Drosophila melanogaster: one gene and its partners. The protein of the gene in region 4 interacts with the protein of the main gene of each other region in a pairwise test. Each region holds a gene or a part of one and is shown on either strand. Other genes may lie near its edges.

Region 1 (6,376 bases), on a different chromosome or scaffold from region 4:
AATAGCCTTTAAAGTGATTTAAATATATGTATAATTGTTTTAAACCTTCTTTTTAATATTTTCCAAAGTTTATAGTGCCGTTTTTAAAATTAGTTTTTTTTTAGGTAAGAGTGGTTTCTGCTTCGGTTATAGAGACTTTTCTAGCTTTTCTTGTTTTTGCAGTTGCTTTCGCCAACAAGGTGGCAACACTGACACCAAGCAACGACACCAGCAACCCTGCTGCAACAGCAAAAACATGTGGCAAGACTACACCAACAACCGGCAGTAATTTGGACACCTTGTCTATGTGTGTTTGCTTAGGCGGGCGATAAAAAATATGGGAAGTCGGAAAAGCGGGTCTAACGGACCAAATGAACATCTAGGGAAAACGTGGGTAAAGGGTTAAAAGCAAATATGAGAGTCTAGACTATATTTGGATGCATGACAAAAAAACCTAAATAATATTCAATATTTCATTTCTAATAGTACGTTCAATTCGTTTAAATGTTAGTTTCCAAGAAATTGTTCACACAGAAGAAAAGCTATTTGCAGTATAATTGGTATAAAAACGAATTTCTATTTCATAATTGAGCTCAAGACACTTACAGCCTAATGAAATTTATTTATGCAATTTAACAAATAAAAAAATAACCCCTTTTGGCCTTCCTAATCAAGTTTGTCAACGATTTAACGCACATCAATTAAAGCCGCTCAAAGATGGAACGCTTAATGATGGCCTTTGTTTTCATCACTCTCCATGGCCAGTCATTCGACCAGTCAGTTAGTCAGTCAGTTTGTCTATCTGCTGTCCCTTTATATATATTATTGCGGATATGTATGTCTGTCCCTGTGGGGCTTCCCGGCAGTGCTGCTGATTTTATACATTCAAATTAGTTCGCTTTGCACGAGTGGCCCTCGAATGAGAGAGAGTACTGCTGTGATATTTCCCGACCACGGCTGACTGGCCAGGCAACCAAGCAACCCGTCGGAACACGGCACAACCGCTCCAATGCCACTACAGCATACATACATACACAAAGATATATGTATATACATATATATATGGAGGGGGTCCGGATTGGGGGGCTATCAAGTTGCCTGTGAAGTGCTTATCCTCAAATCAGTGACACTTGAATGTGCAGCCCATGTGACTGACCAAGTGGGTGACTGACTGACTGCTGAGCGACCAGAGCTGTCATCTTGGCTACTTTCCCTTCACAAATAATATAATGTAATATAATACAATTTAATATTATTCGTTTTTATATTAACGGTTTATATCTGAGGCATATTCTGACATGACTTCTTCATTCAAAGCTGAATAAAAGATATGATACGTTACTCCTTCAAGGGAAATACGCCAACACTGAGCAGCAACTTTACAAAAGTGCGAAGACTTCGTTTCATCTATTTACTTTGCCCTTCGACCACCGCTTGCCATTTGAATCTGAAACTGTCCAACAATTTGAGTGTTGTTTGTGTCCCTGATTGAGTAGCTAAATAAACTTTGGCCTTTTATTTAATTTAACGGATTTATGACTGTCGAAGATAATTGTCAAATGGCTTAATAGTGTTATTGAAACAGGAAGAACTACATGGTATTTTTTTACACAAAATGTATAGAATAAGAAGTCAAAAAAAAAAAAAACATCCCTTCAGAAACTAACAAATTAGTCGGACTAAACCTATAAGCTGAAAAACCTTGTCTATTCCACAAAATGGCCAATAAATTAGCGCAAGTAATTTGCGCAATTAACTAAAAACAGTTAAAACCGCTATTTGTTCGGTTAGCGAAATCGCTCGATACAGCAGCGCGAATGCAATGAATTGGCAATAAATTCTCGGTTCTCGGTTGAAACTTTCTCTAACCCCTTTCTCTTTATTTTATTCGATTGTGTGGGTGTGTCGGCAGAGTCAACTAATTTATGTTTTAACACACTCGCACATGCAAATTAGCACACACACAAAATGAATGCAAATATTGGGTTCCAAGGGGGCTGAAGCTGCCATAATGAGCTCAAGTTGGGCAAATGGCTGAATGGGTGAATGGGTCTGAGGTTTTCAGGCGTTCTTTGCGGTTCATCTGGCAACAACTGTTGACAAAATGAAATCAATAAATTTTAGCGCAAATCAATTAAAATACACCAGCCAGATTGAATTAGAGTGCTGGGTGCTTTTGGTCTTCTTCTTGTTGGCCAAACGAAAATATTTGTCAATTTGCGGTATTCACAAAATTAAATTTGACACACACGCACCAGCAAGATGGAATGTCAGGATGAGTTTTAGGCAATTTTATCTCACTTTGTGTGAAATTTGTTATAATTTATTTATACGGCTTATTAAAATTATTGTAAGTTCGGCCATTTAATTAAAAGTCAAACTTTATTTGCAACGAGAAAAGCGGAGCAAACATGACAGTTGAAAGTGGAATCAAATTTATGAAATCGAATTATGGCATGCATGGATTTGAAGCAGTTTTCGGGTTAAGCCCCAATAAGATGGATAAACCCATAAATCCTCAAAATAACAATCTAACAGAAATTGAATGGAGGTAAATAACCTTTGACATTTCAAAGAAATTACAAGGAATCGGGACAAAGGAGCATGGTTAACTTACTTTTTTTGAAATAGTTTTCTATTTAATTGAGTTGTACGTTCTGCAATCATAAATTGTGTATGTAAATAATAGTGTAGCTTTAATCGTAGTTGACTTTTCATTACTTATCCAATTAAATTTCAAAGGCCAAGCATTAAAAATAGTAGGAACACAAATTACTTCGTGAAGACAAACGTTGAGAGATAAACACCCTCATAGCAAAAATCGGCCAATACCAAAGTTTTGGCAAAATATTTTGGAAGCGGCTGTCTTTGGTCATTCATTAATATTTGGCACTGAATACCGGTAAGAAAATCAAATAATCAGGTAGTTTGCCCTGCCATAATTGTCAACTGAGCATTTAAGCAGAATAGAAAAGCTACTTGAAATCGTCCGGCCGGAACTCAAATGTAGATTTGAAAAACTATTCAAGTGTTAAGTGCTCTGCTGACCATGTTGAAGGACACCGCCACCGCATCGACCAGCGAACTTGCAGGGGAAGTGGGTGACGCCCATTCGACTCCTGGCAGCTGCCCTCCGCCCGCCGCGGGCGACACGCCCCCCGTCGTTAGCCGACCGCTGGACCGACGCCTAAACCCCAACGCACCTGTGTTTGTGCCCGACTTCAAGGCCAGCCAGGTGGCCAAAAAGCTATTTGATGAGTGTAAGTACGGAAAGGAAATAATGTTTATTTAAAACAATATATATTGTATTTTGAAGCCCTTTATATATATTATGCTTTGACTTGCATAGGTTTTTAGTATTGTGCATTTATTTATTTCTTTTTAATTTCCTGATGGATTTATAAATTTAATACCCATGCAGTATCTACGTACACCCGGTGGAGTACGGCAACCTCGGAGGACATATGCTACGAGCCCCGTTACGAGTCCATCTGGCGTGAGGCCAGCATCCAGCAGCAGCAGGGTCTGCGCCATCCGGGTTTCGTTTACAGCCTGGATCCTGGCGAGGAGGAGGTTGGCGAACTGGAGTTTGACGAAGTCCAGGCCATGAATATCGGAGCCGAGTCCTATGATCCCAAGCTAGGAAGCACATCAGTTAGCCAGGCAATGGAAGTTCGCGAAACTGTGGGTGATGTGGAGGAACCTTTAGATGAGGAAAAAAGGAATGGCTTTCAGAATCGCCACTCCGCCAGACCGGCCAAAAAGTGCTGTCTGGTCATGTAGGTCCCACGGAATGGCAAATTTATATATTTATTTTCCATTTGTTTTCACACCTACATGCAACTCAGTAAATTGCTTCCTTACTCTCTCAATTTGTGTATTTTTTTCCTATACCATAGGTGCTTATAAGGGATTTCCCTTTTAGTAAGTAATTACATTTTTTCTGAATTTAATACGCTTCCAGCGCGAAGAATTAAATTCTACAGGTATTTTCCAACGTCGTTGCAATTAAGACGCTTTTCAGAACTTTCTAAATGCACTCCTTTCAAGCCCACTTACGGCAGACTGGAAGAAAGGAAGCTCCGTGGAGAAAGGTCGACTATACCTATGACATAATTTATAGCCTACATTTTAGCGCCCTAAACGGGTTTGTTTTACTTTCCACGAAGGCTCTTGCCTTTCTGCCTTCAGCTACTTTGTCCTGACTTTCTAATGATGTTGAATATGCATGAAAACTTTTGCCGCACGCAGAATTCTCCTCGCTGGATGGCAGCTGAAAGCTTGATTCACCTGTCTATGGGTAGCATGGCAGCAGGACTGCCTTCAGATTTAACTACCACTGAAAATAGTACGGGCTTAAATAACTAATTTTTAAACTCAATAAAATAACATGTGGAATTTAAAAAACACCTTCACTTTCAAATACGAGTGGCTATGCAAATTAAATTTTCATTTAAACTAGCGTTTTTTTACTCGTCCAAATAAAGTTCGAACATTTTCTTAGACTGCACACTTTTGCATTGTCTGTTAGCAAAGTGGCGACAACTTTTCATTTTTTTCGTTTCTTGATTATTTTAGTTTTACTCAATTTTTGGATAAGGAAGGAAAACTCATAAGGCGTTTGGGTGCTGGAGTGTGTGTCTAGTAATGAGAAAACTTTCGTGTCCTTGCAATGTCTCATTTAGAGCTGTCCGTACCCCGATGTCTGATGTCCCGAGCCACGGATAACGCAGCTGCCCACGACTTTTGAATGATAAGCGCGGCGAAAAGGACACGCAGTGCAGTCCCATCTGCAGCTGCACAAATGCTTGGCGGAAACAATTACCAACTCGTATGCAAAAGTGCCAAATTGCCAATGGAGCTTCTCCATGGGCGAAACTTTCACGCCGCTCAATGTCAGCGGGACATGTGAGCAAAAGGAGTCGAATGGAGGTGCCGGACCATACACCTGGGCCCCCCAATTTTTGGTCCTTTGGCAAGGATTCGCTTGGCAATTTTGTGCCAATTTTCTGCGCCTTCTGTTTGTTTATGAAACAAGTCACGTAAGCGACGAAACCCGTTCGCTCCTTTTGCCCTTTTTGGGCGCGTTGAACTGGCAGCTGGCTAAGTGGGCGTGCCATCACCTTGTTTTTGCCACTATTACTCTCCCCGTTGTTGTTGTTTCGCCCTGGGGCGATTGTCATTGGAATCGAGAATTCAGCAATTGGCAAACGTCACGAAAGCGGCTAAAACTTTTCACGATCTTTCGCGCCCTTTTGCCTGATTGTTGATTTGGCAATCTTTTGTTTTAGCCCGTTTTCGACTGCAACTTTGTCCTTTTTTCCGAGCCTTTTTGTTGGCTTGTTTTAGGTTGCTATTTATTGCATAAAATTTATGCCCGTATATTGTGCAATTGAAAAAGTTTGTCATATTTCTGTGATTTTCCGCCCTTATCGTCGTCTGAAGGACAGTACGTTTCGAAAATATAAGTACTTTGCAACAAGAATATTACGATTCAAGAAATTGTAGTGTTCACTTATTTATTTTTCATTATATATGATAAACATTATATATAATAACATTCCCATTGCGTAACGCACGGTATGGGACTCTCATGAAATGTTAAAATCAGGAGAAACCAAAGCCGCTGGCATAAACCATTATTTATGCATCGATTTCAAATCACCAAAACAAAACAGAACGGATTGGGCCAGAAAAAGAAAGTCCCAAATAAACACAATGACAAAACGGAAGGCGGCAAATAAATAGACAACACAGGAATATGGGCAAACAATGCCTGCAATAAATATCCACACATAAGTGCAGTGCACACAGTCGGGTTGTCTTTATGCACCTATAAATAAATTCATTTTGTGATATTTATGCCACGATATGGCAACGGCTAAAATGGCAATCAGTTCAATGACCAACAAAAGTTTGTCTTGTCTTGCAGTTTTTAGTATTGGCTAAGTATCCTGTGTGATTTTTAGGTATCTTAGGCCATTTGAATTCAAACAATATACCTTAAAAATAATTTATTACCAAAAATCGATCGAACTGGTTTAAATAAGATTTTTAATATTAATAAACTATTTGTCAAGATAATAAAAATTGGGATTATATGTACACAGCATTACATTCTTAGATAATCGATAGTTTTTCAAGGCTTATTTGCCTCACAAGCCCAACAGATTTTGTAGGATACTTTTCCTGCCTGTTTTCGAAGGGACTTTTCCCTCGGTCCTTTTTCACTTTTGCCACTCTACTCCTTTATCCACCTCTCTCTTTTAGTTGGCAGCACTTTTAGTTAAATTGAGCAACAAACACGTTTGGCAATAAAAATGATTCCACTTCCAGTTGCTGCTGCCACGCCCCCTTTGGCTCCCATGAGGACTTCCACCCCACCACCCATCGCCAC
Region 2 (6,559 bases), on a different chromosome or scaffold from region 4:
GGGGGAGGCATCGGCCATTTTCGGCCAATTGCGGCCACTTCCGTTTCCGGTTGCCTCGCGATGCTCTCTATGTGGCGATCACGGAGAAGTCTTACGTTGATGGATCCATGTAAATATTTTGTTATCATATCGTAGTAGATACAGATTCTATGTCTTTAAGTAGGTACTTTGGCTTTCATTAGAGATATTAGTGTATAGCTTCGTTCGATTTCGTTTCGATATCTGGTTATGGAATGGCTGATGGATCATGCAGTATGTATGTAAGTATGTAAACATTTGATATGTATGCCGTTACGTTTCAGATGCGATTATGTGCAAACTTAGGGTTAGTTTCCGTGGTGTGTTTGGATTAGTATATATGTATATATGTATGCAGTACGTGGTATCGTGTCTCTGTGCGACTAGAAAGATCTGATCGGCTCGAATAGAATATATAACCTATGCAAAATATACTCGTAATCGTAATTGCAATCGTGGTGCGACTTATCCAGTCAGTTCCTAAATACAAGTGTCTCGTTATGCATGTAACTCTATATGTGGATAAAGTGGGGATTGTGTGTGGTATGTGGTATGGTGTAAGTGGTGTGTGCGGTGCGTGGTGTGGTGTGGTGTGGCGTGGCCCGTGTGGGTGGCTACCTAAGCCAGCAACCCCCCACCCAAGGGTGCTGCCCCAAGGCGAGTATTTGTCTGTCACCGTCGTCTCCGTTCACTTCAGCTCGACGCAATGTGACCCGGGTCACATGGCCATGCCATCTGGCCATCTGGCTCTTTGGCCATCCGATGCTTACATAACGCGACACTTCTCCTTGGCCCCGCCGCTGGCGCTGGCCCCCGCATCGCCGTTCTCCGGTATCGAGCCGTTCGTGTCCTTGGACTTCTTCTCCTTCTTCTGCTTCTTCTGCTTCTTGGTGTCCAGTTGCAGGGAGACGGTGCGCGTCTTCTCCATGTTGAGCAGCTCCTGAAACAGCTCGGTCACATTGTGGTTCGTCTTGGCCGACGTCTCCATGAACGATATGCTCCAGGTGGTCGCCTGGGCCTGACCCTCCGCTTGGGAGACCTGTGGATGGCACATTTGGATTAGAGGTTTTCTTAAAGAGATGATTTTTCTGTTTAAAATCCCCCTTGAAGATTGTAACTTAGATCTTAGATTAAGCATGTATGTATATGACGGATCAGATGGAACATCCTCTAACCTCTCGCAACTCGGCGGTCTCATCACACTTGTTGCCCACCAACATTACGGGTATGTTGGGAATGTCGGCGCCCTGTGGACACACAACGTATTAGTACATGAGAAATGATTGTCAGGCAGTGGACCAACCTTCAGCTCCTTGATAAGCGCCCAGATGGGTCGCAGCTCCTCCAGACTCTGCTTGGAGCACACCGAGTAGACCAGGATGAAGGCGTGCCCCTTCGAGATGGACAGCCTCTGCATAGCCGGGAATTGATGCGATCCCGTGGTGTCCGTGATTTGCAGCGTGCAGATGTTCTTGTTGCAGCTTATGACCTGTGCGAAGACCAGCGGATTATGTGAGTAATCTCTAGCACCAGGCGTCCCACCCACCTGTCTGTACGTATCCTCGATTGTTGGGATGTAGCTTTCGCGGAACGTGCCCTTTATGAAGCGCAGCACCAGTGAGCTCTTGCCCACGCCGCCGGCTCCAAAAACCACCACGCGGTAATCGTTGCTCTGCTCCGGTGCAGCGCGCGTCACCTGATTCTTCTGCTCCGTCATCCCGGTTACCGATACGGATTCGAGTGGGTCGAACGCGGTCGCGTATATCAAACTCGGAGTGGAAATCGGAATAGAGAGAAGCAGGAGCTGAAGCTTGTTGGCTTGCTGTCGGGCGCTGGTGGAATGTTCTACTTGGGCGCCATGCTTTCGTTTATCTGCAACAATTAAGAGCAAATCAGCTTGGCCACAACGCCCACGCACGCACAACCTTTCCGGTTCGCCAGTTGGTGGATGTGGGTGGTAGGGACGTGATGGGCGTGGGCGTGGGTGGCACTACCACTTTAGGGTCCCGCAACAAAAACAAAATGCGAAAGAAAGTTAACTTCCGAAAGCCGATGGTGATATACACTAGTAGGCATGTTAACACACTTTATTAGTTGAATTGGTTTTAAAATGTATATTCCTTTACACTAAAAAACTCTAAGAACCTTTTAAATTGATAATGAGTTGATTATATTATATATGATTCTATTATATAAACCCGCATAACTCCTTGGTTGACTTACAACTTCCTTATCAAAGTTGATAGAACTCCTTTTTAATAGTATATTTAATAACGGCAAACAATGTGTGTGAGAGTATCCCGCTAATTTTAGACATGTGGCAAGGAAGGGTATTGATTTTTCGCTCCACTGGCACTGATCGGCACCAGCCTCTCCTCATCATTATCGCCACGATTATGATTGCCCATGACCGGGTGCGGTATAAATAGGCCTGCTTTGAAGACAAGTGTCCCATTCGGAACGGTTTTCTATCCCATCCGCCCCCAAACACACACACACACACACAATACACACTAGCCGTAACTGCTCACTTCCGCTTGATTGTCCTGGTGGACCCGTGTGACACCTTTGGCCCGCCCCCTTCAACCGACTCGCCTTGCGATTTTCCGACGTTTTGTTTTCCCGCACACTCGTTGTTTTGTATGTGTTTTTTTTTCCACCTCGTACACCTCACGCGCTTTGCTCTTGGATTTTCCTCGCTTTATTTTGGCTTGGATTTATCGATTTTATCTGCACTGCACTTGCCACCCACACGCGAGAATCGAGGGAAAAGCCAGTAATGGCCACCGCATCCATATACCCGTTAATTGGGATGGCCCCAAAGGATCTGTGGGAGTCCCAACTATTGCGTAGCAGTATTTACTTGCATTTCGTTGCACTGGAATTCGTTGCAGGACAGGATGTGGTGCCCGATGTGACTAGCTCTTTGCTGCAGGCCGTCCTATCCTCTGGTTCCGATAAGAGACCCAGAACTCCGGCCCCCCACCGCCCACCGCCACCCCCATACATATGTGGTACGCAAGTAAGAGTGCCTGCGCATGCCCCATGTGCCCCACCAAGAGCTTTGCATCCCATACAAGTCCCCAAAGTGGAGAACCGAACCAATTCTTCGCGGGCAGAACAAAAGCTTCTGCACACGTCTCCACTCGAATTTGGAGCCGGCCGGCGTGTGCAAAAGAGGTGAATCGAACGAAAGACCCGTGTGTAAAGCCGCGTTTCCAAAATGTATAAAACCGAGAGCATCTGGCCAATGTGCATCAGTTGTGGTCAGCAGCAAAATCAAGTGAATCATCTCAGTGCAACTAAAGGCCTAAATAGCCCATACCTACCTTTTTTGTAAACAAGTGAACAAGTTCGAGGAAATACAACTCAATCAAGATGCCTTGCCCATGCGGAAGCGGTAAGTTCGCAGTCTGGTGTGATCCTTTAGGATATCACAGATCTTTCAGAGAAATGGTATTATACTAGTATAAAAATTCAATGGTGATTCAATAGTATAAAAATTCAAGCTGAAACTATCTGCAAAGTGAAATCTCTGAGTTCGTCTCTCTAAGAAAAGAAGTTCTTCAACTGCGTTTTATAAAATGGAACACTAATGTTATATGGCTTATGGATTACAGGATGTACCAGCATGTACTAATTTTTAAATTCTACTTCTTTCCAGGATGCAAATGCGCCAGCCAGGCCACCAAGGGATCCTGCAACTGCGGATCTGACTGCAAGTGCGGCGGCGACAAGAAATCCGCCTGCGGCTGCTCCGAGTGAGCTTTCCCCCAAAAAAGATCTGGAGTAGAGGCGCTGCATCTTGTCTCTCTACACACCCTGCAATAAATGTCCAATTAAAGTAATTGATGCCTAACTGCGTCTTTTCGGGTTGCATAATCAATTGGTCTGCGGCATTCTAGGTTAGATTCGCTTTTATTGGAGGTAGCTTCTAGCTACGTGGTCGGCAATATGCGTCGTGGAAATGGGATGGTCAAGTGTTTTCCACAATGTGCATATACATATGTACATAACACTAAAGTCAGTTGAGCAATATGGTAATCTGAGATGCCTCACTTCTGAAGCGACTGAGGGATTGAGTTTCAAAGCACAGCGGCTTGAACTCATGACTTGTAGATAAAAATACAGTTGCGGGCGTTAGAATATAGCCGCTATCGAATGGATAATATTAAAGAATACTAGCTTTAGAAATAATAAAAATATATTACCCTATCAAATTTAAAACGATTTTAGGCATAACAACGAAATGGGTAATGAAAGTTCATATTTAAATCGGCTTCCATTATTTTATAGGTGATTCATAGAAATATATGATTGTAGACTTATTATTGCTCAGTCTGTTTTGTGAAATGCCTCGTTTATAGCGCAAAAGTGCCATATAGTTTTAGATGTAATATGATCGCGCAATTAACATGAAAGTGTAAGAACCCGGCATATAAACGATATACCAACGAAATAAGTCAAGAACAAGAACCCCACGGCAGTCGGGTGAAGTGACCTAGGAGGCGTAGGGTTACGGGAGACCTCCACCTCAGACCTCCAGTGGAAAAGCCGCAGATGGAGTTTATGGTTCGTATACATACATATATACTTTATTTACTTTGCTAGCCTACGAATGCAGCTTAGGTCTAATACTAGGCTAGGTGAACAATACTTAATGGAGAATTACGAATGGATGGGGTGCGCAGTATACAAAGGTGCATACATATGTATGTCTATGAATGGTATGGGTGTGGGCATATCTTCTTTTTGGTTATCAGCGTGGCCAAACAAACCCGGGCGAGATTTCACGGCGGTTTCGAAATGGTTCTGTCGAAGGTGCTCGACGCACGTTGAAAAATAGTGGGAAATTCACGGTTCGCCCTACTTGATAACGATATTCTGTGCCAGTCGCTTCACGAAGTCCACGTTGAGAAAGTTGGCCATCAGTGTGAGCACGGACTTCTTGGGCGGCCGGCAGTGGCGCAGTCCCGCCTCCTGGCAGCACACATTCGGAAAGCAATCCAAGGTGGAGGTGCACGCCTTGGGATGAAGGTCAAAGATGGGCGGCGGCGGGGCTGTGCACTCCAGGTACTCTGTAACTGGAAAAGCGCAAGGCTTCGATTGATTTCGGTTATCATACGGAAAACTTTTAACTTACGATAGTCGAAGGATCGCTTCACTGGCACTGGAGCTGTTTCCAACTCCGGCTGCGAGGTGCGGCAGTATCTCCTACGCCCATCCGGGCAACAGACCCTTGGCCAGCAGTCCATGTCTGTGGAGCACTCCTGGACGTCCCACCAGAGCTCGGCGAGCGGTCTACTCGGGCACTTGCGAGGTATCAAGCCCAGAATGGCTAGCAAGAGCAATAAATTGAATAATATCTATAGCAGCTAAGGATTAAACCCACTTACGAGCATGTGGAGTCTCCTCTAGCGGCTTTGGAACGCCAGAGACACAGCTGCTTGCTCCAAAGATATCACAGCACAGCTCATCCCGTTGCCACACGGCACAGTCTCGATCCGCCTTGCAGATCTTGGGGAATAGCTGGAACCTCACCTCGTTCTCCCGCGGACAATCGAACCTCAAGCGCAGCTCGGCAGCCGACCTCTTGCCCTTCTCCGTTTCCCTATCCCTGTTCTTATCCTGGTTGTCGCGTGGGAAGTTCAAGGTGGGCAGTGCAATGCGAAAGGGTCCATCTGTAGTGGGTTTTTGTGTGCTAGTTGTTGTTGCGCTTCGACTAGTTGTACTCGTTCTCTGATCCATCGGTTTCCTAGTGGTCTTGGCCACTTTTCGTTGGCCGGACTTTTCGTCCTTGGGACTAAACTTTTTCGGCGGATGGGCCTGCTTGGTGGGCGGACGCACTGCCACCAGACTCTGCTGGCCGAAACTCCAGAAGTTCCGATTAAAGAAGTTGAAGCCGTTGGCCAGGCTGGGACGCGGAGCTGGGGATTGGATGTGGAAAGCGGGTTTACCAGTGTGCTTAATGACCATTAGTGTTTCTGCTCCAAATAGCAGACATTACACGTCAAGTAAAGCGCAGTTCCCGCCGCTCATGAAGAGCGTTTGATTTGGCTTTTTTGTTTTTTTTTTTTGTTTTATACTTCTGTTTCGTTATTAAGCCAGGCCAACAATGGATCAGCAATAGCGCAGCCTGTTGGCAAACGTTTCCCACCCACTCCATGCGCTCCATAGACCCAACGCAATTGTCTACTTGGCTGCTTGCAACAGCAGGTGGACGCAAGTGAATCACCCGCGAAAACGGCCATACTACCCAGATCATTACTCCCTATGTTAACGAGATCTTCTTCGAGAGCAATTTGATGGTATATACTTAAAATTTCCAGCTCATAAAAGTAGCTAATGGAGAAGTAGCTTAAATTTAATTTAATTTTAGACCCTCCCCGACCGAAAATGGGGTGGAATTCTATAGCCGAGTGATCATGATCACGATCATGCAAATTGGCAAAGGCCTAGGCCCCAATAATTCGTGGCCTTGCATACGCCTCTCCAGTTCGGACTTAGCCAAGGTCTCCTGATGCAGCCGAAGCCGATTCGA
Region 3 (8,140 bases), on a different chromosome or scaffold from region 4:
GTGCCTCATTTAAAAGTTTTTGCGGCACTTACTTTTACTATTTTTTTCCATAGCTGCCTGGCAAAAAAAAAAAAAATGGTGCATAAATTGTGCAAAGGTGTCGGCGAAGATAGCGTTCAGGTATTGTAAGGCAGCACTTTCGGAGGTCCTGCCGCTGCTGTGATATTTCATATTTCACATTCATGCGCTGCACTCGAGAAAAAGGGGAAGCCGTTGAGCCAACTTGAACTGCAAGTTGGGCAGGTCATTAAGGCTTCATTGGACGCCGCCCCATTGATTATTACCTTTGGCAGTTTCCGGGGCCACGACCACGCCCCCCTATCACTGCACCAATCCCATCCGCCCACTTTGCCCGGGGCACTTTTTTGGCATTTTATCTTGTCATATTTTCTGCAACTTTCAAGTGACCAGGCACGAAAATAATGCAAAAGTTATTTTAAGCCAAGGCACTGCGATGCCTTTCGCATTTCGCATTTCGCTTTTCAATTGCCCAAGAAGTTTCCACACAAATTATGCCACTGGTCGCAAGAAGCGCAGCAGGAGCCGGAGCAGGACTCCTTCGCAGAATGTGCTGATGGAAAAAAGTAATGGCCATATCCATGGAGCTCCAGTTACAGTTGCAGCTGCATCTGCAAAGTTTTTGTCATCCGCTTGTCATGTGCGGACTATTGCGTACGAGTGCGAATCTGAGGTGTTAATTGGAAGCGAGGCAAACACTTTTCCAGACGACGTCGGCCCGAAAACTAAACAACTTTGAAAAAGTTCACTTAGGTCTAAGGATGGAGAATTTATAGTTCTGCTCAAAGTTGAACGAAGTTTTTTTTTGCTGTCACTTAACATTTAGATTGTTTTTTCAGCTAAAAGTGCCATAAAAAGTGCTCGGCAAGACGGTCTACTGAATGTGTATCCCCAGTAATTTATATCAGTTATTCAACTATTCATTATTTACAGGCGAACGTTAGGTGCTTTTTCAATATGTTTAAACGGAAAATTGCGCTCGCTGATGACAGAAGTCCTTATTCTCCTTATTCCGTGCTCTTCCACGCCAAGGAGCCCGGAGTTCCTGCTGTCTGAAGTCTGAAACTCTTTCTGCGTCTGGGGCGTACTTATATATCAAATCACTTTTCCCGTACTCAGAACACATTTATTTTATTTATGTTTACTTAAGCGTACCACCTTTTAACTATGCCAGCCGGCATCCTTGCCGCGTCCTGAATCCTGATGCCGACTTGCAACTCCACATGCAGCGCGCATTCGGAAAATAATTTCTTTGCGTGGAAGAAGATTGCATTCCGTTGTCACGCACTTCCTGCCAAGAGATGAACTCACGCCCCAGCGATTCGCATCGAATTTAGTGCTCATACATCGCAAATCAGTGGAAACTGGCACTTTCTTGGCTCCGGGCTGGTAAACTATATAAAAATGGTAGAGAAATGAGGTCACAAAGCGCCATTCAGCGCCATGCTGGTAAATAAAAGAGCCAGAGACAAATTGAAAAAAAAAACCCCCGTTGCAGCTCGGCAAATAAGCAGCCAAAGTCTGACAGGTGGTCAAAGGTTAAGTGCGGGAGGGGCGACTAAGTGCAGTTTTAGTAATTAGCTGTGGCGCAAGTGCAAGTGCCTGCAAATCCTTCAGATTTAGCCAAAGTATTCAAGCCTCCAAAGTGGGCCAACACAGCTGCGAAACGCACCAGCGCCAATTGAAATGGCGTCGAAAGGGTTTTCGTGACGGTTAACATTCTACCATTCATTTGGCAATCATTATGCTGAGTCACAGTCTAGCTGGCATTTATAAATGTCGCACACTGCGTATACGTAATGAACTGACTTGCACACACACACACACAGGCGCATGAGGCGAATGCGCAATGCACTGCATTTATCAATAGACGAGTGCATGTTTGTGTGCCAAGCGTATATCATGTTGGCTTTAGTTAACAGAAATGTCACCGTTTCACTCACAAGCAGAAGCGACAGGTGAAATGTGGATGGGGCAGGTGGATGGTAGGGCTGTGCCATTCAAGGTTGAGCTTGAGGAATTGCCCCAAACGCTGCATTTAAATGGAATTTATTTAATATAAACGAGTGCCTGCACATGCGAGCATTAGTGCTGCCTGCAGCGGTGCGCAAACTTATTTAAATATGACTTCCACAGTCAAATCAGAGTCAGACGCGAAATGGAAACGGGCATCGGAATCGGAATCGGAATCTGAATCAGAATCAGTGGTGCACTCCGAATGTGAAAGCGAATAGCAAATGCGAAATGAATGCACAGGAAATGAGCCCCGGTTAATGCATATTCATGGGAACATACTTTGCCGAGAGCCGCGGGCTTTTGCCACTCGTGTTAGTTGTATGATTGCGGGCATTTGGGCGCAACTAAACTGGCTCATTATTCGTGTGAAAATGCCACAATTGCGATGGCCCAAAGGGAAGTTCTCCCCAATTCTCCCAAAAAGTTGTACAATGGACTGGTGCGAAAACCCGCATTTGAACAGATGCAAAACAATTGCTGCTCTGGGAGTTTCAAAAATACTAGCTACTCGGCTGTGGGCGAAAAACCAGCAAGGGCCACCTGCCAAAACAGAGGAGCGTAAACAAAAAGCTCGGCCAACGAAAGTGGTCCACACACATGGCCAGCAGGGCACAGCCTTGCATATTTCCAGAAATCAGAAGGAATGTGTAGGAAATGCCTGCCTTTGAGTTTGAGCCGGGACGGTAGATGCACTGGACTGTCAATCGCAGACACTCTGTCGTCAATATGCGGAAATATTACGTATACGCCCCTGTGTCCCCCGCCCGCCTTCGCCATCTTGTGCAAGATGTGATTGTGCGGTTCACTTAAAATCGAAATGCCTCAATCAGCTCCTGCCAGTTGAGAGAAAAAGCTGTGATTCTGCCAGGATATCTCGACGGCGAAACAAAAACTTTGCATAAACAAACTATGAATACTCGTATATGTGCTGAAGTGCATATGTGCATATCTGAGCACGCATTGTGCACTTGGCTGTCGGAGCCACTTCGCTTGGCTGGCCAACAAAGCGTTGGCATGGAGCTGTTCCACTGGATGTCTCTGTCTTCAGCATCCTTTTTGCCGTCCTGTCTGCGGGTTGTGTGCACACTGATCCGGGGAGCTGGTTGCATAAAGGCAAGAATTTCCGTAACAAATACTTTCGTTCCGCATTTTTCGAATTTCCCCATGACGACGCGGTGCAATTAAACATATCACTCACCTTCGATGGCGCTTGGCGCGGTGCTTCCATGGGCACGAGGGGGCACCTGTGGCTTGTCGCCAAGGAGGTGCTCCTTTTCCGGCTCCAGGATGCTGGCGGTCACCGTTTCGCTGGCTCGACGCAGCATATGCAATGGAGTCAAGTTCGCATCACGATCGCGTTCGAAATCTTGCTGGCAGGAGGACATTTGATACGAGTCCTCGAAGGGATTGCTGCTGCGAAAGGCTTGCAAGGGTGGACCCTCACTGCCTGCCACTACATCCAATATATCTAAAAAAAAATATATATATATATATAAATTAATTTGTATGATATTAAAATTAAAATCGCTTTATATTCATACTTTTTTCCCACAAAAAAAATTGACTCAAGCTATTTGGTAACATTTTTAATTACGCATGATAGATAAAGCCGAAGGGTTGCTAATCAAACAAAAAATATTGATAATTCCATTCTACCATTCTTATTTTCCAGTCCCAAGTATATAAATAAAAGAGTTAATTTCCCAACAATTTGACTTGTGGAAGCCCGAACATATTTGCACACGATTTATTTATTGGCACTTGGGCAAAAAGTGGCATTTAATTGATTAACCATAAACTCGTAAATTAACGCCGAAAGTGAGTATCGAAAGCTGCCAGAATCGCTTACCGGAATCGCTGCTCATGTCGAATGTCGGCGAAATCCAGAGAACAAAACAAAACTGAGTGATTGAGTGAAAAAAACGCGGAAAATAATGCCAAAGAGCGACAACTGCTGACGCAATCAGTACGATGACGTAGTCCAAATGGCTATTCTTGGCTCAAAATTGACGAGTGCCAAAGAGAAACGCCGCGGTTTGAAGAGATTGGTTAGCTGCGAATCGAGTGGATATATAGTATATAGTATAGTATATGCAGGGAACGGAACACGCGCGACACGACCGGCGGAAAGGCGGAATGAAATAGTGTAGTAGCCCCGGAACTTGAGCACTTGGAGCTTCTTTTTATTACAGCTCATGCACTGGCAAATATTTGCCAAACGCATTAATTAGAAAAGCAAAAGCCATTTAAACAAGCAATTGCCGATTCGCGCAGCTCCAGCGAGCGCTCTTCGATTAAAACTAATTGGCAAACAAACAAGCTCTGCGGAAGGCGAACCTTCTGTTTTCATTGCTGTCGAGCGAAAAGTGCGGAATGAGTTGGTTTCTGGGTTGGGTGAAATGAGGGGTGGGGGTGGGGTCTGTTTGGAAGCACTTACATATTTATAAGGGGTTCGTTTATCTGCGATTCAATATGCCCATAGTTTTCTAAGGCGCAGCCAATTAGCTGATAAATAATTGTCATGTAATCATAATTTATCTGAACTAGATAAGGCGCCGAATAGCCGCGTTATTAATAGACCTCTAATCATAGCGCATTTCCCATGTGTGAGTGTCGGAATGATTAAACGCTTTCACTTTTTTTTAGGGAAATGTGCGCGACCTGCCCCATTTGAGCTCTATCATTGGGGCGGCAATTCTGTGCCATAGATGGCGCTTTAGTTTGCCAGCTGCGTTTACATGGTATTAAAAAAAAAACTACCTTATATTGTTTTTATTATTAATTATTAATTTTTGTGAGCTTGGAAAGCAATTATATTTCCTTGAAGTAAAAAGAGTTTCGCTTGTCTTGCAAATTGTTTTTCTGACAATTTGCATTTTGACGTTGCTCATCATATTGGGCGCCGTGGCCACTCCCACGCCGTGGCTGTAATTTAATTGCTTCGCTGGAATATTTTTAATTTACCTGATGGACAAACCAGCCCCATGACAAAGATAACCAATCGCAGTGACGTCACCACCATTATCCAGTGCTCCAGTCAGATCATCTCCTCATCAGGTGCCACACGTTGTTGCGCAAAAAAAGTGTCGTTTGCGAAAATATTTAATTTATTTTAACTATGCACACACACTTTTTTGCACTGTATGGAGTTGCAGTTGCACTCTCACTCTATAAGATGGCCATTATGACGACGATGATGATGACTATGATGATGGCTCAAAAAAAACAGGACATTGTGAGGTGCGGGGCGCTGCAAAAAGGATAATACAACTTTCTCGCTCTATTTGCCACGCACACACATGTTGTTACAGTGCCGTGATTTTTGTTGCATCAAATTGGAATTTTTTCCTTAAATATGGTAAACATCGATGGGGCAGAGATTTATGTATAGTGCAGCGGCGCGTTGATGAAAATGACTCGCCGCTGCATTGACCGTGTTTACTGTTTGTCAGACAGGGCAGCAATTTACGCCCACATGCAAAAAACATTAATTTGCATGCAAGTCAATTATCAGGAGGCAGCAAACAGACAGGCGCTAGTTACCAGTTTTCAGTATTCAGTTTTCTGTTTTGAGTTTTCAGTTTTCAGTTTTTCAATTTCTTTTGCACAAACATTGGTGTTATTATTCCGCCATAAGGATGCAAGGACTAATGGAGATACTCTTGAAATGGGTCATGATATTCCAAAAGAATCGCATATGGCGCAGAAAGATTTATTTTGTTTTTCATTAAAGTACCATACAAACCATTAATTTAGCTCGCTACTCTTATAGAGCATCTGCAGGTTGTTGAGCTCAACGTGGACACTCAATGGCGAGGACTTTCAAACTGCCAGGCCAGCACATTTCTAAATGTTTTTATTAATTAAAAATATTGCAAATTAAACACATTTCCAAATTGCGTTTTGCATTTTTCGTATAAATACGCGGTCGATGGAAAAAATGCAAATATAATTTACAAAGCATACATTTCACATTTTATTCTTATTTTATGTTCATTGCATTTTGGTTTGCTCTATCGCCGCTTTCGCAGCCATCAGTTCTTAAACTTGCCTCAAAGCTCTTAAACACGATTACTACCTGCTAATTAGCTTAGAATACCTATGTTTTGGGACCAGTCTTGGGTGCATGATGGGGTCTACCTGCTTTTGATGGTCACCTCGCACTTGGCAGCCAGATTGCGGAGGGTGAGGAACTGGCCGGATGCCCTAATCTCCGGCCAGCTGCACCGGAGCGAGTGAGCAGGTCCCAGGAATCGGTGGCCCGGAGTCTCGATGACAGTCTCGAAAGTGGGTCCATGTGGCAGGTGGTCTAGGTGCCACAGGAAGACGGCGTGCTCATCGCCGCCGCCGATCGCAATGACAGCCAAGAAAAATGTGTGCACTCTGACGTGGCCAAAAGTGGAGGACTCCTCGCTCAGCCGCAGGCAGGCCACGCCCTCCAGGGGCAGCTGGGGGCGGACGTGCAAGCGTTCGCCGAACGTGCCGTAGATTTGCAACACTGCCAGCCGGTGGTCGCCGCTCAAATGTCGCAACAACTGCCATTCCCGCCGACCTATTGACCCCGCCTCCAGTGGCAGCTCCTGATTTACTCCGGCTGCCGGCGCCTGTTTATGGCTCCCCGCTGATAAGGATGCACCTCCCGAGTTCTCAACCACCGCCAGCGCCTGCATCGCGACTGTTGACAATTTGTTGGCCACTGGCTGGCCAAGTTGGTAACTGTGGCTGCTGCATGATTTCCCAGTTGGGCAATGATAATTTTGATACTCGCTCTCGCTGCTTGCTGACTTCTCATGCCCCAGCTGCTGCCGCTCCTGCTGCTGCTGTTGCTCCTGCACCTGGACACCATTATTTATGGTGGCAACTTCATCGCAGCGCAATCCGTCTTGATCTGGCCCAGTAATCCGCCAACTTTTCTTACTCAACTTTAACTTTGGTTTAACGAGCATATTGTTGTGACCTTCCTCCGAAAAGTGCTCGACAGCGGCCTCCTGATGCTGCACTTTTATCAGCGTGCAACGTGGCAGGACAGCCTCCTGCACCGCCTGCTCCTGCTCCTGCCCCTGCTGACTCTTTCTTCTGATTTCCCGAGGACTTTGGTCCACCAAAACTGTTTCGAGTTGCCTGGAGATTTGCTTGCCGCACTTGGACTTGCCGGAACTCGTCTTCGCCAGCGCCATTTTCGGTTGATTATGATATTCATTTGTGCACTTGTTGACGCTGCTCAGCTTTCCATGGCCCTGGGAGGCAGCCACCTTGTTGGTTTTCCCTGAAAAGAGGCACCGAAACGGAGGACCATTACAAAAAGTACGAAATGTAAATATAATAAATACAACTGGGACAACTGGATGGATATGCACGCAAGTTGTCCATTTGCGCTCGTTTGTGTTTTGCCCCCAAATCCCTTGACACAAACTCCCTTGAACTTCTTCAAGTGGCAAATGAAAATAGAGCAGAAACTAAGTAAATATCCGCGTACCTGCATCTGTATAAAAATGGTTGAACTATGGCTGAACTATGGGTGAATCCGGGCGAATCATAAAGAATGCACACTTAATGTAGACGCAATAAAAACGCACTAAGCACGGCATAATCTGGGAAAAAACAAAGCGAAGGACCCTGAAGTGGGTAAAAGTGGCAAAAAATGAAGACCAGCAGGGAAAAACAAATGCAGACAACGGCGGAAAATTCTGTTGCTGCTTGTTACCTCCGCTGTAAACTTCACTCCAAGTTAACTTGGTCGACACAGATTGAAAATGGCAACAAGGGCGGCTAAACTTTAAACGAAGCCGCCCAGTGGCAAAGCAAGAAAAGCAACGCCAACAACAATCTTCCGGCAAGATGGCAACGCAGCTAAGCGCGAAAAACTTTAGCAATTTATGTTACATAATTATGCCATAAAAAGAACAACAAGCGAAGATGAGCCATTGCGCTCAATTTCAAGCACTCTTGACTCGGCTCCGCTTTCTCGTCACATTTTTCTTTCATTTGCGCCGCATCTCGGTCGAGATTTAAGTGAAACATTGACACTTGCCGCTGTCGAAAAGTTATGGCCCACACAAATGAGGATTCCCCGCTCCCAGCCAGGATGTTGCCATTACCGCAGGAT
Region 4 (9,640 bases):
AAAGCAAAATACAGCTGTTTCGCCTTCCACTACTCCTCACTAAACAGCTTGTTGATTTTTGCGCGATTACCTTTTTCTTGGACTAATCATGTCCGATCCGTCCCTTAAACCACCCGCCAGTAACCAACCGCTGAGGCCACCCCAATTGATGGCTCCTGCGGGATCCGGCGGTGGCCTGCAGTTGCCCGTCACTGCGCCACAGAAGCTGAACTCCAATGGATCATCCGCTTCTGGATCGGCCACTGGTAATCCGCGCAACAAGTGCGCCCTAAAGCCGGGCTACTCCCTGATGAACTGGATACGGCTGTGCAATTCTGGAGCGGATCTATCGGGAACCGGAGGGCGTCTGGTGCCCGTGTCGCGAACGGAATTGGCCCGGCACAACAAGATCGACGACGCCTGGATGGCCATTCGTGGTCGTGTCTTCAATGTCACCCGCTACATGGACTTTCATCCGGGCGGAGTGGATGAGCTAATGCGTGGTGTTGGTCGCGATGCCACCAAATTGTTCGATGAGGTGCACGCGTGGGTGAACTATCCACAATTGTTGGGAAAGTGCTACGTGGGACCACTAAAAGATAATGAGACAAAACCTGCCAAGGAAAGTCCACAGATTACCAATGTGATATTGCAGCCTCCGGAAATAGTGCCACGCTTTGATTGGATTCAGCAGAGGAGCGAACTTACCCTGATCTTCTACACGCGCAGCCTGGCTAATCCAGGCCTGGTTGTCCGGCGGAAGGACCTCCAGCAACTGAGTGTGCGGGTTCTAGTCCAGCACAATTGGCACAGCTTTGATTTTCAACTGACCAACAATGTAGAATGGCCTCCAAAGTTAGCGAAAATCGGTTCGGAGACGGGGAAAATTGAGTTAGTTTTTGTCAAGGAGGAAGCGGAACCATGGCCAACGTATGGAACACATGTGTCCAACAGATTAGACTCTAGCCGATTACATGATGAAACTTTCGAGTATGAAGTAGTTCACAGCAAAGATTTCAATCACGACTCCTTTGAACTATGTCTGCAAAGTGTTGGGCAGAAGGTTCTGATGGTCCTGCCGGCTGGTTACCATGTGGATATAGAAGTCCCACTAGAGGGACGGGTAATTCAGCGCAGCTACACACCAGTGGATCACACCTATCTACGTTTGGAGAACATCAGATCATCCAGATCAGAATGCTTACACTTTCTGATCAAAAGGTATCCGAACGGACCCGTCTCCAGTCACCTGCAAAAGCTTGAAACTGGATCTCGCGTCCATTGGAGTGCGCCACGTGGATCCTTCCAGCTCTCTGATCTCACTGCACATAGAAATATTCTACTCCTAGCGGCGGGAAGCGGATTAACGCCAATTCTGAGCCTAATTCAGCCCATCTTGAAGAGAAATACAAACCGAATGTAAGTTCTTAAAAATCAGTCCCGAAAAAAACTTACTTATTTCCCACATTTACAGTGAAAGCTTACAATTATTGTACTTTAACAAAACCAATGAGGATATCTGGTTAAAGGAGAAACTCCATGAACTACACACCGACGACGAAAGATTCAGCTGCACAAATTATGTCTCCCAATCGGAGGATAATCCACAAAGAATAGCGCTGGAGCTGCTAGCCCCTTTGTTCCAGAAAAATCAACCGGAAAGATGTACTTATGTGCTCATTTGCGGACCAAGTGGATTCAATACCGCTGCCTTAGATATTTTGAGTCAACTGGATGTTAAGGCCAATCAAATTCACGTATTCCGCGGCTAAGTGAAGAAGTCATTTAGTTGCGCACTTAATCTTCATTACATTTATTTAATGTATAGCAAACGTTTCGACTTTTGTTCTTTTTTTATTGTTTTTACACGTTTTCGTTTTAATAATTTAATAAGTTTAACAAATACTAGAAAAGTGTAGTTGGATTTGTTTTCATTTGCTTCTAAACAGGCTGCGTAGTCAATATCGCCTCAGACCTAACTCGTTGTCTACTCACACACATTTTTCGCTTATGTAATAATGTAAATAACCGACAACCAAACAGTAACCAAATGGAGGGCAGCTTACAGTGAAACTAAGTAGAATCAGCGGAGTAGTAATAAGGATTTGAAAGATTTATAGGTGTATAGAAAATCTGGATTTACGTTTCATCACAAAATGCCCGGAACCGCTGCCGAGTTCCCAGTTACCAATTGGTAGCATATTGCGGCTCATTTGGCGATTTGACAAAATTTATTTACTGGCGCCCACAAAGACGTTTAAGTAGACATCCGTACGAGTGATGGTATGGGGTGTATATGCGGGTGTTCTGCAACTCCAAGTCTTGATTTAATAGGAGCGAATCGCTGGTGGAACAGTAGAGACTTCGTTGTCCAGCGTGGTATCGATCACGTTTCTGTAGTCCAGCGTAATGTCTCCGTTGTCATTGCACACCCACGAGAGCGTGTGCTTGCGCCAGTGCTGATCCATGGGCTTCTTCTGCTGACCATCCAGGGGCTTGCTGAAATCCTGCAATACATGTTGTTCCATGATAAGAAGTTCAGGGGCTGAGTGCCGACAGTAACTTACGTATTCATCCTCGCGAACCTTGAAGTCCTCGCGGGCGTGGGCACCTCGCGATTCCTTGCGCGCCTCAGCGCTCACAATAGTCATCTGGGCATTGGCCAACAGATTCTGCAGCTCCAGCGTCTCCACCAGATCGGAGTTCCAGATAAGCGACCTTTAAAGTCAAGGAATGTTAGAGGGAATCAAAAAAATACTTGTTTTTATATTCACCTATCGACAACCTTGATGTCCTTGAACTGCTTGTAGATCTCCTTCATCTTGTTCACACCGTCCTGCAGGATGGGGCCATCGCGGAACACAGCAGCATGATGCTGCATGGTCTTCTGCATCTTCAGACGCAGATCGGCGGTGGTGATCTGGCCGTTGGCATGGCGCAGCTTATCGAGGTTAGCAACAGAGGCCTCGCCAGCGTTTTCCTTGAGGGTGGGAGCCGGTGCACCAGGCTTATTCAGCTCGGCGATGGTCTTGGCGCATGCACGTCCGAAGACCACCAGATCCAGCAGAGAGTTGGCACCCAGACGGTTGGCACCATGCACCGAGCTGGAAGCAGCCTCACCAGCGGCATACAGTCCCGGCACAATCACATCCTTGCCATCCTTGTCAATGGTGATTACCTGGCCGCGATAGTTAGTCGGCACACCGCCCATGTTGTAATGCACGGTGGGCAACACGGGGATGGGCTCACGGGTCACATCAACACCGGCGAAGATCATGGCGGTCTCGGAGATGCCAGGCAGACGCTCCGCGAGCTGCTTGGGCGGCAAGTGGTGCAGTTGCAGGTACACGTGATCCTTCTCGGGTCCAGCGCCACGACCCTCCATGATCTCGATGGTCATCGACCGCGAGACGACGTCGCGAGAGGCCAGATCCTTGGCCACAGGAGCATAGCGCTCCATGAAGCGCTCACCATTACCGTTGATCAGGTAACCACCCTCACCGCGGCAGCCCTCGGTGATGAGACATCCGGCGCCGTAGATGCCAGTAGGATGGAACTGCACGAACTCCAGATCCTGAGAGGGCAGTCCCTGGCGTGCAACCATAGCAGTACCGTCACCGGTACATGTGTGCGCCGAGGTGCAGGAGAAGAATGCTCGTCCATATCCACCGGTGGCAATGACCGTGTTCTTAGCGCGGAATCGGTGCAGTGTGCCATCCTCCAGGTTCAGGGCCAGCACACCACGGCACTCGCCGTCCTCGAAGATCAGATCCAGGGCAAAGTACTCCACAAAGTAGTTGCAGTCGTAGCTCAGCGATTGACCGTATAGCGTGTGCAGCAGCGAGTGACCAGTACGATCAGCCACAGCACAGCAGCGATGGGCCTGTCCGCCCTTGCCGAACTTCAGACTCTGTCCACCGAAGGCGCGCTGGTAGATCTTACCGTCCTGGGTACGCGAGAAGGGCATGCCGTAGTTCTCCAGCTCAATGACAGCCTTGGGCGCCTCGCGGGTCATGTAGTGGATGGCATCCTGGTCGCCCAGCCAATCGGAGCCCTTGACCGTGTCGTACATGTGCCACTTCCAGTCGTCCTCCTCCATGTTGCCGAGAGCGGCATTGATACCGCCCTGGGCGGCGATCGTGTGCGAGCGGGTGGGGAAAAGCTTGGTGATCACCGCCGTGCGAAATCCCTCAGCCACCAGGCCAAAAGCCGCCCGCAAGCCGGCTCCTCCTGCTCCCACGACGATCGCATCGTAGGCGTGATCCACCACCGGGTACTGCTTCGATATCTTGTCCGGATTCGCCGCCGAGGCCTGCTGGCGGCCGTGTGTGATGTGGTAACTGCGCTGCACTCCAACGGCTGCGGCACGTTGCTGCAAGATATAAATTGGGATAAATAAATATCATATTGGATTGGATCATATTCCATGAAAAATAAGTCAAATATATCCCCAAAGCAATAAATATAGAAAATGGATCTATAGATTAAAATATTTTCAGAGTTGAAAGCCGGGGTTGTCAATAAAGCTATCAACTTATTGTTTGCTTTAGTCATTCAACGATAATTCACAATCGTTTGCGAAAAAAATTACGTAAACTCAGACTTAAAGATTACTGCCTGTGTTGTCATTTCTTAAAGGGAATGTTTTCTCAATATCTATTAATTAAATAGAAATTTTCAGTTTCACGAATACCCACATTATTTACGTATCTGAAATAGCTTAGTGTTATCTTATCAGAAAATTCCAAAAAATTAAGACCGGAAAGTGCACAAAACGTTGTTGCAACTAAACTTTCGGCCGTTAGTTAAATTTAAATGCAAAAAAAAGGTGTAGATACAAGTTGAGATAGTATCTTTTGGTGACGTCGGCAAGATAAGTTGATAAAAACAGAAAGAGCGACTTGCAGTGATAACTGCTTATGTAATAAACAAATGAAATAATTGAACTGGCATTTTTCGGCCGGGGTTTTTTGGTGGAAGGGGGCGGGGTAGATCAGCACGGCGATCAATTAGCTCCATTGTATAATCAGCTGTTAGTTCTGTGACGTGCCTCCATCTCTCTCTCTCTCTCGCTTGCTCTCTCCGCTTGCCAATCATTTGATTTACTATATACTACTATCCTCTCTTTTGTGAATCTTCCGATTAAGCGGTACTTATAAAGCTTTTCAAGGCGTGTCGTGCATCCAAAACCAAGTGTTTCAACTGCATTTTGTTGCACGAAATGCCCAAATGCACGATATCGTCGATGCAGGAGAGCATGGATGAAGGGGGCGGGGCGGCAGCATAACATAACCTCGCTGGTGCACACCTAGCTTTCCACTATAAAATCCGCAAAATTGCTGAACACTTGCTTGGAATGATATTCGCTATATGAAAATTAATATAATCTAGCAAAGGGAATAATTTAATGCACCTGTGTCCCACAATTTGCTCACAAATTACATAACACAAGTACGGGTGGCGCGTTTTTGGCCAATTCGTTGGTCTTTTTCTGTTGTCACATCACGAGCTGGCTGGCTGGGTTCTGTGTAGACCCGGTTGTATAACCACTCTTAAATCATTTCGTTTGCCACAGAGGAGCCTGGGTTTTCACTTCCAAAATGGGGACTACTTACCATGGAGGCGACTGCATTTTTGGCCAAAATCGATGGCACACGCATGATTCCGGACATGTTTGGCTGGGCTGTGAGGTTCTACTGCAAGATTCTGCAAGAGATTGGACCGAAAACGAGGTTTTACGCGCTTGTAAGATGGGGTGTTTGGTGTTGGTACAAAATAAAAACAAATAACTACGTGTATCGATGTGTCTATGTGATCGAAAAAGGAAAAGTTTACAAACTTTCAAATGTTGTGTGTGAACTGCCGCTCGTCGGCACTGCAGTTCGGTTCACTGACTCGCTCAATGAACGCTGAACCGGAACTAGTTCATCGCAGAAAGGCGTTAATCCGCTTTAAGTTCAAAATGTATATAGATACCGCGTACAAGCATACATATTTTTGGAATGGAATTTTACCATCTCAGCCGTACGTATTTATTTGCATATATCGTAGAGATAAATAAACCTTCGTTCATTGAACCAAAACCTAATGAACTGTTTTTCTCCCAGCCAAAGTGGCCAGAACACAAAAATCCCAAAATCTTTAAAATGTACAAAACAGCTGATTTATTGTTTATTTGGGGGTGGTTGAACGATAAAGATTTAAAAATTCAAATGCATATTTATAGAATTACAGAGAGATTAGTGTCTTTACAAAATGTCTATTTAAAATGAGATTCACTTGAGATTCTGTTAATTTGGCGGCACCTTTTTGCCACAACGCTGGGCAAATTCCTCAGGCGTGAGATCAGCCAAATGATTAATTCCCATTTTCCAAGTCACTTCGCCCTTCTCGAACTTCCGATTGTGTTCCTCAATCCGGGCTTTGGACTCGGCGTAGATTCTACGACGCATCAGATCCTCCTCTGCCTCGTAGTTCTTGTCGAACTTGGACTATGGTGGAATCAAGTGATTTCTAAATATTGCGTCGCTTGCTAGGACATATTGGGCCTACCTTGTACTCCACCCACTCCTCATCTGAAACCAGGGACATCTTGACACTTGTAATTTTGGTGACCGACTAAATTTCGTTTCAATTCTCAGGTTTTATCACGGTTTCGCACTGAGTCACAACATATAAACACAACAAAGAAACGATAATATATGCAGCTGATCAGAGATGCCACTTCGGTGAAAAACAAACATAAATAACAGTGGGCCCTCGTTTATGAAAACCGGATACTATTCAAATTCGATTTAAATCATATGCTAAATTCTCAAACATTATAAACATTTAATGCAAAACCATTGTTACATTTTTTGGAATGACTACTCAAAAAATAAATACAAATAAAAAAAACCTCTTTTCAAATACTTTTGAATTTTGTACAATTTTCAAGTTTTTATTTATTACGTGTTTACTTCTTCGTGTGTGTCGTGTTTTTTCTTGTGTATAATACGAATTTAAATATATATTTATATGCATTTTCTTACACTCTAAACAAATTTTATGAATAAACTTTCGGCTTCTCGTTTGCTTTTTTCAAAAGTTTTTTTATTATTTGCACAGAGTGAGAATATTGACATATTTCTAATGTTAATCTAAGGACAAAATTATACAGACTTTTTCGCCTTAATGACGCAAAAAAGTTGCTAGAAATAAGCTTCTGTCGTTGCGCAAATAATCAGTTTAATTATACTTTATATTTTGCCGTTTTTTTTTTTTGTTTGTTTGTTTGTCTAAGGCTCAGCAATGCAAGTATTATGTTGTAAAGAGAGTGTTTTCAATGTGGTGGTGGGTTTGGGTAGGAAAAGCAGAAACATTCGATTTATCTGGCATTAATCATCGGGGTTTTAATTTTATGTCAGTTAATTTGAAATGTAAATGCGTTTAAGTTGTGCCTTAAAGTTTTACATGCTATGGCAGTCGTATATAGTTAATTGCAGTATTCGTTATTCATCGATTTGAATATTATAAATGGAAAAGCGATTACAAATCAAGCACATCTACTTACAAAAGAAATGCTGAAATTTGATTCTTGGAGATAATTTTTGGAAAATTCCAACCATTCTCAGTGATTGTGTTGTTTCTGCTTTCCTCAGAGTAATCGCATGTTTTAATGCGGGCGTGGTGTATTTTTGGATTTTCGTTTTCTTCATAATTTATTGGTTTTTATAAATATATATATGTATATGTATGTATAAACAGTTTTACGTACATAAAAATATATAATTATTTATATAAAAAACTAATACAATTGCTGCATGTATACAATAATTATTTATTCGTTTTGTGTGCAAATTGTGGCTGCCCGGAATTTAAAAACAAAACAAAAGAACACAAAAACATAAAACGCGCTTTCACAAAACACACACATGCCTAGAATATCAAATTGTAGTTGTTGTCATCGAATTTATTGCATTTCTAAAAAAATATTGCATTTAAGTATTATGCATGTACCACGCTTGTACGTATGTGTCTAAAAACAAAAGTTTGCCTTTGTTTCAAACAAATCTTTGTTTGTCGTTAGAGTTGCCTGGGAATTTGTACCCTTTTTTATCTGTTCATTTGCTTTACCATGTCATCATGTAGTAAGGTGTGTTGCGTAGTTATTTTATAAGCTAATACATCTAGAAGATATTTGCAAGTTACTTGTTTAGGACAAAGCGGCGGTGTCGGATATTGCGTGTACACCTGCAAACCTCATTCTCGTTTATCATACAAATTGTTGTGTGAATTGCATTTATCTCTCTCTGTGTGTGTGTGTGTGTGGAGGGGAGGGTGTGTTGCCGTGGCCATCGTATAAATTAAAAATTAGAATTATATTATAATAGATATAAGCTGTGAATGCGAATTAAGGGAGGGTGAGGGGGATTTCCCCTTAGATGCATCTCGATCGATTTTAGCTGCTCATCCGTTGCTTGTTTAGGCCTCTCTCTTTTTTTTATATAATGCTTCTTTTGCTGATCTGGCTAAAGTTTCCATTTTCTCGTGGTATCATTGTCGTTATTTTTCTCGGTTCCCGCTGATGGTGGGAGGTTGGTCAAGATTGCTACTCCTACGGATCACGCTGATGGTCAGCTTAGGCCTCGGCCTTCTTCTTCTCCTTCTTCTTTTTCAAAAACGATGGTGTGCGCAGACCCTTCTTCTTCTTCTTGTCTTTCTTGGGGGATCCGTCCGTGGAGACATCCTGGAACCGTAATAGAAATTTGCAGTGAGAATATCGGTTGCGCTTCGGTTAGTAAATCAAATGAGGTTAGCTCAATGCATGATGATGTTGTTTAAAACTGGTTGTCTTGTCGATGTAGCAACTCTACTTGCTAATCGCTTACCACCCAGCTTACTGCTTGTGAGTGTTCGAGTTGAAGAAGAGATCCGTAGATCTTGGATCGCAGGATCAGTTCGGATGTACTTACCTCTTTACTGCTCTGCGAGAAGGTGCTCAAGTGTGCCTCCGAATGATCGCCATTTTGTACGTTTTCACCTGTTGCAAAAGGGTCGAAAATGTCGTTAGTAATTTGTATAGCAGTGTAATTTGGCATGGGTCTCCTACAAATGTAACTCAGTGGACGCACACAAAATATTTGATATTAATTTCGTAATTACTTTCACCATATGAGACACGCACGAATAATAATCTAACTAAAACATGTACATGTATTAAATGTTTTGATTGGTGTGGATGTATAAGTACATAGATGGAGTTTAGGATTCGCTATTCAAACACGAGGACATGCAGCAGGATCAGCAATATATGTTAAAAAGCAAGCAGACATGCAGTACAAAACACAAACATAAATAATAAATGAAATTATTTTACCTGGGCGCTGATTAAAGTTAACTGATTGAAATTAATGTTTCGTAAGTATGAACACTTAACCTAAAACTTTCTTAAAAACATTAAACATAATGAAAACTATATTTATTATATTTTAATTATAAAAATATGAAACGAAAATCAAGATTCGACAAAAATTAAACTTAACAATTTCACAGATGTTTAAATGTACAATGGTTGGCTCAGATTCAGTTTTAACTTTGCATTTTCATATTGTGCTTAAGTTACAGTCTTAACATTTAAATTAAGAGAACAAAGAAGTAAAAAATGCATTAGTTCGATTTG

Evidence for each region.
Region 1: the proteins of SdhA (region 4) and CG15136 interact in a two-hybrid assay, tested with the Drosophila melanogaster proteins (one large-scale study listed by BioGRID).
Region 2: the proteins of SdhA (region 4) and MtnA interact in a two-hybrid assay, tested with the Drosophila melanogaster proteins (one large-scale study listed by BioGRID).
Region 3: the proteins of SdhA (region 4) and Nha2 interact in a two-hybrid assay, tested with the Drosophila melanogaster proteins (one large-scale study listed by BioGRID).

What each region holds. Positions count from the first base shown.
Region 1 is NT_033779.5:17,044,634-17,051,009, reverse strand, and holds CG15136 (uncharacterized protein), read left to right. Parts: upstream 1-2,728; 5' UTR 2,729-2,881; intron 2,882-2,941; exon of another isoform or gene 2,942-2,944; 5' UTR 2,945-3,028; coding exon 3,029-3,239; intron 3,240-3,400; coding exon 3,401-3,762; 3' UTR 3,763-3,849; downstream 3,850-6,376.
Region 2 is NT_033777.3:9,781,083-9,787,641, reverse strand, and holds MtnA (metallothionein A), read left to right. Parts: upstream 1-3,271; 5' UTR 3,272-3,396; coding exon 3,397-3,418; intron 3,419-3,682; coding exon 3,683-3,783; 3' UTR 3,784-4,235; downstream 4,236-6,559. Other genes in the region: CG8500 (uncharacterized protein), read right to left, coding at 785-1,057, 1,194-1,265, 1,322-1,507, 1,565-1,735; CG12947 (uncharacterized protein), read right to left, coding at 4,885-5,102, 5,162-5,356, 5,415-5,945. UniProt on the Drosophila melanogaster protein: This protein binds cations of several transition elements. It is thought to be involved in detoxification processes.
Region 3 is NT_033777.3:22,994,282-23,002,421, forward strand, and holds the start of Nha2 (Na[+]/H[+] hydrogen antiporter 2), read right to left. Parts: upstream 4,248-8,140; 5' UTR 3,900-4,247; coding exon 3,884-3,899; intron 3,505-3,883; exon of another isoform or gene 3,503-3,504; coding exon 3,233-3,502; exon of another isoform or gene 2,173-3,232; intron 1-2,172. Other genes in the region: CG34375 (uncharacterized protein), read right to left, coding at 6,171-7,300.
Region 4 is NT_033778.4:19,390,093-19,399,732, forward strand, and holds SdhA (succinate dehydrogenase, subunit A (flavoprotein)), read right to left. Parts: upstream 5,880-9,640; 5' UTR 5,773-5,879; exon of another isoform or gene 5,686-5,772; 5' UTR 5,652-5,685; coding exon 5,595-5,651; intron 4,352-5,594; coding exon 2,754-4,351; intron 2,698-2,753; coding exon 2,547-2,697; intron 2,487-2,546; coding exon 2,307-2,486; 3' UTR 1,771-2,306; downstream 1-1,770. Other genes in the region: CG11257 (uncharacterized protein), read left to right, coding at 89-1,398, 1,454-1,751; cer (crammer), read right to left, coding at 6,270-6,470, 6,532-6,570. UniProt on the Drosophila melanogaster protein: Flavoprotein (FP) subunit of succinate dehydrogenase (SDH) that is involved in complex II of the mitochondrial electron transport chain and is responsible for transferring electrons from succinate to ubiquinone (coenzyme Q).